Linked DNA regions of Schizosaccharomyces pombe. Changing the gene in region 2 together with the main gene of any one other region gives a genetic interaction. Each region holds a gene or a part of one and is shown on either strand. Other genes may lie near its edges.

The links. Genes that interact genetically often act in the same process or in processes that back each other up.
Region 1: mutations in trs8501 (region 2) and ppr8 together harm fitness more than expected from each alone (negative genetic interaction), as found in Schizosaccharomyces pombe (one large-scale study listed by BioGRID).

The regions. Positions count from the first base shown.
Region 1 is NC_003423.3:4,392,712-4,397,410, forward strand, and holds ppr8 (PPR repeat-containing protein Ppr8), read right to left. Parts: upstream 2,737-4,699; 5' UTR 2,726-2,736; coding exon 2,546-2,725; intron 2,501-2,545; coding exon 1,235-2,500; 3' UTR 899-1,234; downstream 1-898. Other genes in the region: DNA-directed RNA polymerase I and III subunit Rpc40, read right to left, coding at 3,342-4,388; uap1 (UDP-N-acetylglucosamine diphosphorylase Uap1/Qri1(predicted)), read left to right, coding at 4,629-4,699. UniProt on the Schizosaccharomyces pombe protein: Mitochondrial RNA-binding protein involved in mitochondrial translation. The cox1 mRNA is one target but it is not clear if ppr8 has a single or multiple targets.
Region 2 is NC_003423.3:3,893,231-3,898,570, reverse strand, and holds trs8501 (TRAPP complex subunit Trs85), read right to left. Parts: upstream 3,341-5,340; 5' UTR 3,162-3,340; coding exon 1,185-3,161; 3' UTR 1,057-1,184; downstream 1-1,056. Other genes in the region: cmp7 (ESCRT III complex subunit), read right to left, coding at 1-153, 197-475; kinesin family plus-end directed microtubule motor Tea2, read right to left, coding at 3,484-5,340.

The sequences.
Region 1 (4,699 bases), 500 kb from region 2:
TGCTATCCACTAATTCCGTATCTTCTTAAACTCGCTAACGATATGGTAAGATGCGATGTTTTGATTGAAATAATGTTTGCTCCTAAATTTGGATACTATATAATAAAATCAGATTCTTACTATCCTCGGTTATAATTGTTGGGCAACGCGCCGTTGTTTGCTCAGGTGAACTGGAACTTAATAAGTAAATTCGGTATTGTTTTACATTTTTAGGCATATGATCAAGAACTGTAAGTAAACAGATAGCAGAAACCATTTGAATCTTACAATATTACATGATAGTACGTTCGAGCAGCACTGAATTTAACAAGTGCATCTAATAATGCTGTTACGGCGTATACAGCATCCTTGCAAATATAAGCATTGCTAAACATAACTCATTTATGTTTTATAGACATTACTTTCAAAACATCAAATTTTTCTATTTATATGCTCTTTTTAACAACCACCATACCTAAATGAATTACTATTTTAAACTTAGTATATTTTCTAGGCAGCGTATTTTTTGCGAGATAAGCAGTTAAAATTTAAACTAATACTTTAATGTAAAGCAAAATTTGTGATTCATAGAGTACAATAAAGCACTTTGGTCTCACATTAATACAATGACATACACCGACCCCAGCTGTTTGAGTGCATATAAAGCATTAAAATATAGTGATAATAATTTAACTTACAAATTTTCCACTAGCAAGACATACCTACAAATACCGGGAAAAATATCCTCTAATATTCGTTTAAAGCTGTCTTTAACAGCATAACTTAGCGCGGTTTAAATCCCTTACTTTTCGTACTTGTCATAAACCAGGCAAAGCTTCTAAGTATTTCAAACTATCCATATCTCTTGAGAATAAACAGGTGTTTTTAGATGCTAAACTATTAAGACGAACACAAAACCTGTATCTGGAATAAAAAAATATATATTTAATATAAAAGATGGCTATAGCAAAAAACAGAAAGGAGTATGTACGTTAAGGAAAATTAACAAATATCAAAGAGGTAAACAATTAAACCCATCCAGGTAACTTCATAAAACGAAAATCAAAAATCACCACCGAAACGTTCCTAAATAAAATAAATAACTCAATTTGTGAAAGTGTGGGACATATTAAAAGATGGGAGTGAACACTTTTGAACTTTAATGCATGCAGGTAATATGGCTGTGATGTACACATTTAATCGTAATCTCGTTAAAAGGAAGAACTATATGAGATTATCCAAAGTGCAAAAAAATTTATGGCGAACGTATATGTTTACCGTATTTTGATAGCACCATATTCAGAAATTGCAGGCAACTTTGTTGATCATCTCTGTCAGGTTGAGATAGAATGCAGTCCTTTAGGAGATTTATTTCTTTATCTGCAACAGAAATGGAAATAGCTTCAAGACGATACTCAAGATTTACCCAAGCCTGCGAAATTTGCTCACATGTGCTTGGCAATAAACAGTATGCTTTCAATAATGACCGATAAGTGACATGAGTAGGCTTTAACCCGTACTTGTCTATCATATCAAATCCAGCAGAAAGCCATTTTACATCCTTTAAACGACTAGCAATAGAGAACAAGGTGTTGGCAGTACTAATGGATGGTTTGAACTCCTTTACATCTGACATCTTGTTGATAAACGTAGTGATAAAGTCGGTAGCCTTTTTAATATCCCGATCTCGTTCAAATTGCTTCATTGAAAGACTTAAAATAGCATTTGTCAAACGAGTGATATCTTTGGGTGACACTGAAAGATAATAATCGAAAATAGTTAGCAAAGGATCTAGAGAATGGTGTGCTTCAAAAAGTCTTTGAAGTAACCAAACGGTTGTATAGATCGTTGGTAGATTTCTTTCGTTAAGATTAGAATTTTTCAGATAAGCAGCAGCTTGATCGACGAGACCTTTGTTGACAAACACTGAAATAATGACATCGGAGTGAAAACTTGTTAGTCCGTTAAATTGAACTAAAGCTTTATGAGCTTTACTGCTAATACCTTGATCTTTGAAAACAGTATAAATCAAATACACAGCAACCAATTCATTTACAACTTCTTTCCCTTCAAGTTGCTCGTGAATGGCTGAACCTATTTTTCCACACTGTTCAAAACTGGCACCTCCAAGTATCTTAGCTTGAAGTGCTGAGATGTAGAGGTTGCCTAAAACTCGTTCATCTTTAGGTAAAAACTCCATATGGCTTAAGCTCATATCAGCAATTAATGAAGCCTTGTCAAAAAGGTTTAGGTCGATATATGATTGGAGCATAATTCGCCAAAACCTAGCAGAGGCAATCTCTTGGTGTTCAATTGCATATCGAAGTATATCATCAAGTTTGTCGAGAGTAGCTTCATCTACATTACCTCTCCCATTGAGCATTTTAATCCGATCTACCAAAAACAAAATGTATCTATTAATGGTTTGACTATCTAAAATGCCAAATGGTTTCAGGCTGCTGAAAGTAGCAACGGTTTCCGTATACTTGCGCGCCTTCATTTCATCATTTAATTGTTTCAGCTATTTACCTGTTAGAAAAAGGTGGAAACATCAGCCTTTACATACCAAATTTTGAGAATTCTGCCTTACATGTTGTTGAGTTTCAGCGGTGAATGAAGTTTGTAACCCAGAATGTAAAGGCGGAGCGGTGAAAAGGGTACGCGTATTTTGTAAAAGTGCATCTGACACTTTAGCATTACTACTACGCAGCAATTTCCGAAAAATTTGGCTCCCAAATCCTTGCATGGTATACGCTTGGGGTAAGTTTGTTGTTGCTGAGTCATGTTGTGGCTACTCTCTACTCAGTCAGGATTGATCTAGAAAAGATCAGCAAAATGGCGTTTCCTGAATATGTTAGAACTGATTCTATTTTATTTTTCTTTTCCTATAATAGTTCAATCATGTAGTAACAAAGCAACTTAACTAAGACTCTGCTGCATGCTTAGGCACATTCTTTGCAAATTAGTTAAAACCGGCATTTACAATATTTTTAAAATTTATACAATCAGTCTAGTTTAATTTAGGTAATTTAATAGATAGGACTTCAAAATCCCTGTAAAAATATAATGAAAAGTAATTTTTTCAGTTGCATCAATTAAAGGCGTCGCTTTCATATAAATTCTCAAAGCATTTTATAAGGACTTTCAAAGGATGGCAAGTAGTGATTGAAAACCAACACTTCTTTTTAAAAGGTCTACTGGTTATCAACAAAATACATGTCTATGATGAATTAAATTTAAAATTAAAGAAAGGACAAAATGTTAATATTGAAATATAGAAATCAATAACTTTCAAAAGTATATTTTTTAACAGCGTACCCAATTATCCAAAAGATTACATATAAAACTAATTTAACAGACATTCAGTCAGAAGAAATATTCTGAAGACTAGACTTTACGGCTAGACATTTCGATTTTAGGACTGCAATGCTTTTAATGAACAAGACATCGGGCTTCATAATACCGGTGCTTTCAACAGAAAACAAATAATGATCGCGTACGCGGCCTAATTGCACCTTATCTGCAAATTCGGGATGTCTCAAGCATTCGCGGGATACGGTGTCTTTTCGAACGTCTGCTACACGGGCTTGTTTTTTACCATCAGGTCCTTCTTCAAGCTCGATGACTCCTTTAGGGAAGCATTTTTGAAATTTAACTGCATCTTCACCTTCAATAGGAGACAAGATATGTATAGTAGGCAATAAGCGGTAGGAGGCAGTAGCAACAGGAGAAAACTTAGCATGGTCTTGTCCAATACCTAAGATTGCATGAGCTTCTAAATCGATTTCCTGGCCAGGACGCAATTTTGCAACAACAATATCTGGGTTGACTACTCGTATAGGATTGTCAGCAAATCGCTCTTCCTGTCGACCTTGCGGTTTCCAAATTAGATCACCCGAATAAACCTCAGAGTTAACGTAAAGTCTCTTTGGATCTTTTTCATCTGTAGCGGCATTCTTATTAAACTCGCATTTCTTATTAAGGGAAAAGACAACAGTATCGTAATCAGTATGAGTTGCCTCTTGTCCTGGCAGAGGATGTTGAAACCATTTAAACATGTCAGGATCAGCAGATATAGGTACAAGACCTATTCTGTGAGACAAAACCTCATCTTGTATTATGCTCGTATTGTTTATGATATACACGAACTCAAATGCAAGAGTTGGGATCTCGGCGATTAAAATCCTCCTAAATGCATTTGCAATGGATGCATCAATTCCAGAAATTTCAAATACCATTGTTTCTTGATCGAGAGACGTAATCGAAACTTTTAAATTTTTTTTAAATTTATCAAGATCCCAGATGTTGTCTTCATCAAAATAATAACCTGGAAAATCTACACTTCCTACATCTGTAACACGATCAGAAAGGACAGAGATTTCTGTCCTTGATCTGTCAACCGCTGCCATTTTTAATTTTATGAAAAAAACGGTGAGAAGTTGCAATATAAACTTTTAAAACCTTTATATGCGTAAAAATTCGCTATTGTGTGGTAAACACGATAGTGCGAATAAAAGTAAGACATTGCAAATTAACTGACAATAGTAGTAGAGCACTTGAAGAAGCGTAAATAGCATTTTTTTAGCGATTCAAGTTTGCCAAACATTCATTTTTTTTTTTTAGACTGTATTTATAACGCTAAATACGAAATGGACGACAAAGAATTGTTTGATCGGTCTATATTTGAAGAAACTAATCAGTTACATTTGTATGATCAATT
Region 2 (5,340 bases):
GGATGAGGCTTGATTTTGAAACCCAAGTTTCTGAAAACTCCACCGTAGAATTGAAAAAATAGAAAAACCGTCTTCTCTTACTAAATTTCCTTTTTTACAATCGTTCAAAAAGTCTTGCTTACGAAGCCAAACCCCTTGCTGGATCCAGTAAGCCTATATGCTTATTAGCTTCAAAAAAAATGCTTAATTCACGTACCGCAACAGCACCAAGGCTCAAAGGTCTACCTAAAGCAGGACTTGAAAACGCACTTTCAAAAGTCTCATCGAAAACTAAGATTATCCTAGAATTCAACTTCCCAGACCATGCGGATGTTTCAATTGCTTCTCTCCAAGTATTTACGTTTGCCAAAAATCCTTCAGGATTTTTTATAAACAGACTCGTAAAGTCAGAATACAGGCTTTTTAAACGAGTTTTTGTAAAAATTCCTTTATTAACAGAAAATTCCAAAGCATTGACTTTCTCCTTTTTTCCCATTCTGTCGTATATTCCTGAAGCTACCTGCGTGGTTTACTATATACAGTTTTCAAACAGAATTAATGGTATGAGGTGACTTGTCACTTGTACTTTTGTAATGTTACAAATTGCTAAATTTGGAGTTCTAATAAGGTGCTGATGATTTGTTTTCAAAAATTCAGACAATGAACAATTTATTCTAAAACTGATAAGATAGACAAGTTATAATAACATCAGCAATTTCGTATGAAGTTGACTAATGTAAAATCGCATATATCTAATATATGTTATATTGAGTATGATACTAAATTATAATTTTGATATAATAAATTATAATGCTAATGCTACATTTTAAATTGGAAATCCTAAGCTCCTTTATGCCAGCTCCTATTCCTTTTTCAAATCTTTCAAAATTATAGCTTACACCTCTACTCTTTGAATTTCACAGTTATTTTTTATATATACTTTTTATTTTAAAATAATTATTGACATCAGTCTAAATTCTAAAGCAACATTTCAAAAAACGTGAACAAAAAAAAAATGAAGTTTTAATTTCTAAAGTCATTAACTAGCTAATTGAATATAAATATGATACTGTAAGCGGTAATATAATTTTTCAACTTCGCATTAATCGCGCTTGAATTAATAAGCTCATAACCAAAATCGAAAGTTTAGCACCTACATAAGCAGATCTTGTACCAAAGATTGCCCAGATGACAGGATGAGTTGTCTAATGAAAAGTATTTTTCACCCGAAAGTTTTCGGAAAGCGTTGGTTTTAAGTCCAGCATATGTTCAGAAAGCGATTCCCATCCTGATTTTGAATACACACGATTAGCAAGATTCCAGCAAATCTCTGCCATTTTACAATGGCCACAGTCCCGCCAAAAGCCAGCGCTATATGCAAACCAAAAAGCAGCTTTTCTGCGGCGATTTCCATCAGTAACACCAACATGTTCCTTATTACTATACATTCCAGCTATTGTCGTATTTAAGAAAGAAGTTTCAAACGGATTGAGGGAAATAGGGCCTGGTTCCAATATCTTTGCAAGCCAGGATGCTGCAAAGTCGATACTAAACGCAGGCTTCAACGAGAGCAACAAGCTTGTAACTAGCACACTTCTAAATGTATAGTAAAAAGAGTGAAGACGAACAGCATAGATATAAACCATTTCGTCGAACCATTTGTTCAAATACGAAATTTGCGACTTCAAGCTGATATTCCGATTTTGCATTAACAGACATATTATTTGGATTTCCTCGCAAGACGCTAAATAATTCCAGGCTTTGTCTTGAGAAAATGTATTCCGAATCTCATCATAAATTTCATAAGCACGTTTGTAATCACGAAGCATAAAAGAAAAATCCGCCATTTTTCTTTTTATGCTTTCCTGCTTTTCTGAAGAATAAATAAGGGATAGTGGATCATAGTTACCTTGAGAATGGCTTGAATGATTACGAGACCAGTATTTTTTGGAGGCAAATAGAAGCCTGGTAGTTAAATTACCGTATTGAGGGGTCAGATCTTCTTCCCAGGCCCGTACGCATCTTTGCATAAAAGGATATATACTATCATACAACATTGTTTGAACAAACTTTTTCATCCCTTCCACTTCTTCTACAGGCAGTAAAGGATAAAGAGGCAAACACGATTGTTCGGATTCGGCCTGAACTTCTAATGATGATCTCCATTCTGGAATTGGAAATTTTCTTAAATTTTTAGTCACAAATGTTATCGGTTTGGCATCATCACTAGATGAACAAAAGCTTTCGCTTTCCATCGAATCTCTAGGTGCATTTTTTAATGACTGTATAGAAGACGTATCATATCTGTCAGTATCTAAAGGTTTCGCTGATATGTAATTCGACCTTAATCTAATAAAATGAGAGTTTGCGCCAAGACTTCTCCGCATTTGCTGAAAAATTTGCTTCGAATTTGAAAGATCGTTGTTATCTTCATCATGTATAAACAAATAGTAATGTAAAATTTCTTTAGAAATAAAATTAGGAAAGGGCGCATTGTTAATTTCTTTGAATAAACGCATAACAGTTGCCATAGGATTGGTATTATGAGACGTTATAACAATTAGACAACCCACAGGATGAGAAAAAGTTTCATGTTCAGCTACCGGGTTACCAGAAAGTAGAAGTTTGAGATAATCCAGAATGGGATTTAAAAATCCATTTTCGGGGTAATTATTGCTGCCCGATTGAACCCACTCTTCTATGAGCTTCTGACTCAAGACTCTGAAACTATCAATGTCACCGCCAGGAGCAAATCTAGAATTTGCGCAATTTTCTAATCCGTTTTCGGTATTCCAGGCTTTATTTCGCTTCCACTGCCGAGGAACTTGTACTGCTTCCATAGGAACAAAGCGAATTGAGTCATGATCATTATCAAAAATCCTAGAATCCAAAGTTTCCTTTGAAATGGCAGAATTGTTTGTCGAGCTCTGAAAAATGCGATCTCCGAACGGTCGAATAAAAGATGCAAAATCGTCAAATCCTTTACGCTTCATGAAATTTTCTGTGTCATCAGATGCCATAATAAATATGTGCGGACAATATGTGTCACTGATCAGCTGTCGAAGCTTTAGCCCAAACGCATTGTTGCTCACCGATGACGGTGTTACATGAAGAGAACTTTGAGATGCATTAGGAGCAATTTCAGAAAGGCTCCTGGTTATAAAATTTGTTGCAATGTCCATAAGGATGTGTTAACGGTATAGAGGATAAAAATTCCAAACGTAGTATATGATTGTAGCAGGTCGTCGCAAATTTAATAAAATTTTGCATAGAGAAGCCAACCTATGCAAATTAAGGATTTATTACAATGTGTCATTACAAATTATTGGAAAAAATCCCCGAAAATTCCAAAATATTATGCAAAAGAAAGAGATGCAACTGCGAACCGGCCTGTTTAGTAAAGAAACATCGTATCGTTAAAGTAATTTAAGGAGACATACAGGTTGAATGGGTATAAAATTGTAAACAAGGTTGATGAGAAGACGCCTATAATTAAACAAGGTATCAAGAAAGAAGTTGCGTTTCCTGAGTCACAGAATCCTTTTTCGATTGCTGTTGATCGTCTGGCAAAATTTCAGTTTTAGTTTCATTACTGAACTGATCAGAGGAGCTTCTGCTTCCCCTAGTAACATTTTTCTTTAAGATTTTGTGAGGGAATTTAGCAAGCGATTGATTGAAATCGGCAATATCCCGTTGCTTCTGAGCATATCGAAGAGCATAAATAATTTGTTCTTTATCTTGTAATTCATCTCTTAGATCTGCAATTTCGAAATTATGGTCAGAAAGCAATTCCTCCATTCGTAAACGAGCTCTACTTATAGCAGTTCCTTGCGAACGCTCTGCCTCTAACATGGCAATGTATGTATCTCGTTCCTCTAAGTCCGAAGTCAATTGCTTCACCAAAGAAGCATAATATTCAACTTCTTGGGCATTCTTTTCAAGGGCAGAGTGTAAAGATGCTAATTCAGCTTGAACATTAGTCACAGCTTCCGCTTGGCGAATATCTTGAGGCAAATTTTGAGCTCTAGATGCAAATTTAAGCGTGTTAGTAGTCTCCATCGTATGGTTGGATTCTATGCTTATCGTTGCTAAAAGTGATATTTGTGATTGGCCGGATAAAGATTGCTGCAACAGACGAGTTAACTTAGACTCACGATACGGTATATGTCCTGAATTTGAGGTAAGTGAAGGATTTGCAGCTGCTGACAACCTAGAAATAACAGTTCCTAATGTTAAAAGAGATTTGTTGATAAATGCTCCTTCTTTGCGTCTTTCATGGTGAGCTGAAGCTCTTTCACTTCCAGCGAGATCCACCAAGCTGAGACTCGAAATTTGTGAAGTGTGAGCAGTAGGATTATTTCGAATAAGAAAAACCTGAAGAATTGCATGCGAACGAGAACTATACGTATTGAAATCGGTTGCTGCTGTTTTTCGGATTGCATTGCACTGTTCAATAACCTGACTAACCTCTTCGGGGCTAGTGACGAGAACTCGAGTTAATGGTGTAACATTGACTTCTCCAGATGCATTTTCGCGTATTCTTGGCTCTTCGTCCGAGTTTCCGATTAAGTCTCGTATTCTCTCATTATAAATTTCTAAATAGGATATACGGATTTGAAAGGTATCGTCATCAGAATTGTTTTCAACCATTTCAAATAAATCATTCATGGCAAGTGGAATAATACCAGGTTCGTTTTCCGTACCTTGCATAGAATATGTTTTTCCTGTGCCGGTCATTCCATAAGCAAACACTATTCCATTATATCCGGAAAAAACATTACGGACAACCGACTTAACAGAACGTTTGTATATATCGTAATTTTTAGATTCCATCCCAAAAACATTATTAAAAAGATATTCTTGCTGAATTGTGGACGAGCTTGTACTTGTTTGCTGGCGAATGTATTCACGACCATATGGGTCATTGCTTAACTTGCCATGTGACCATACACCTTGGTTTTTACCAATAGGTCGAATACGTATACTTGTGATAATTCCTGAACCAACAAAGTTGCTCTCTTTTAAACCTTTAGAATTGGTTTGTTGACTTGTTGTAGATTCATAATTAACATACTCATTTTTTAAATAATCCAAGTCCTTCGACGGATACAAGGCAGGACGCGTGTATCTATCTAAAGTTCCAGGAGACATCAATTTCTCTGTAACTCCCAAATCAAATGCTGTAGGCCCATTTACATTTGTTTGAGTGCTATTGCTTCGTAGCATAGGTATGGAATAGTTCGAAAAATTTCGGGACAATGGTGACGTTGGGGAATATGGAATACTCCCTGTTCCACTCTGAGATGGACCAGTCCGTATGCCAGTCATTGTAGAATAGCGGCGAGGTGTAACCAACCCAGT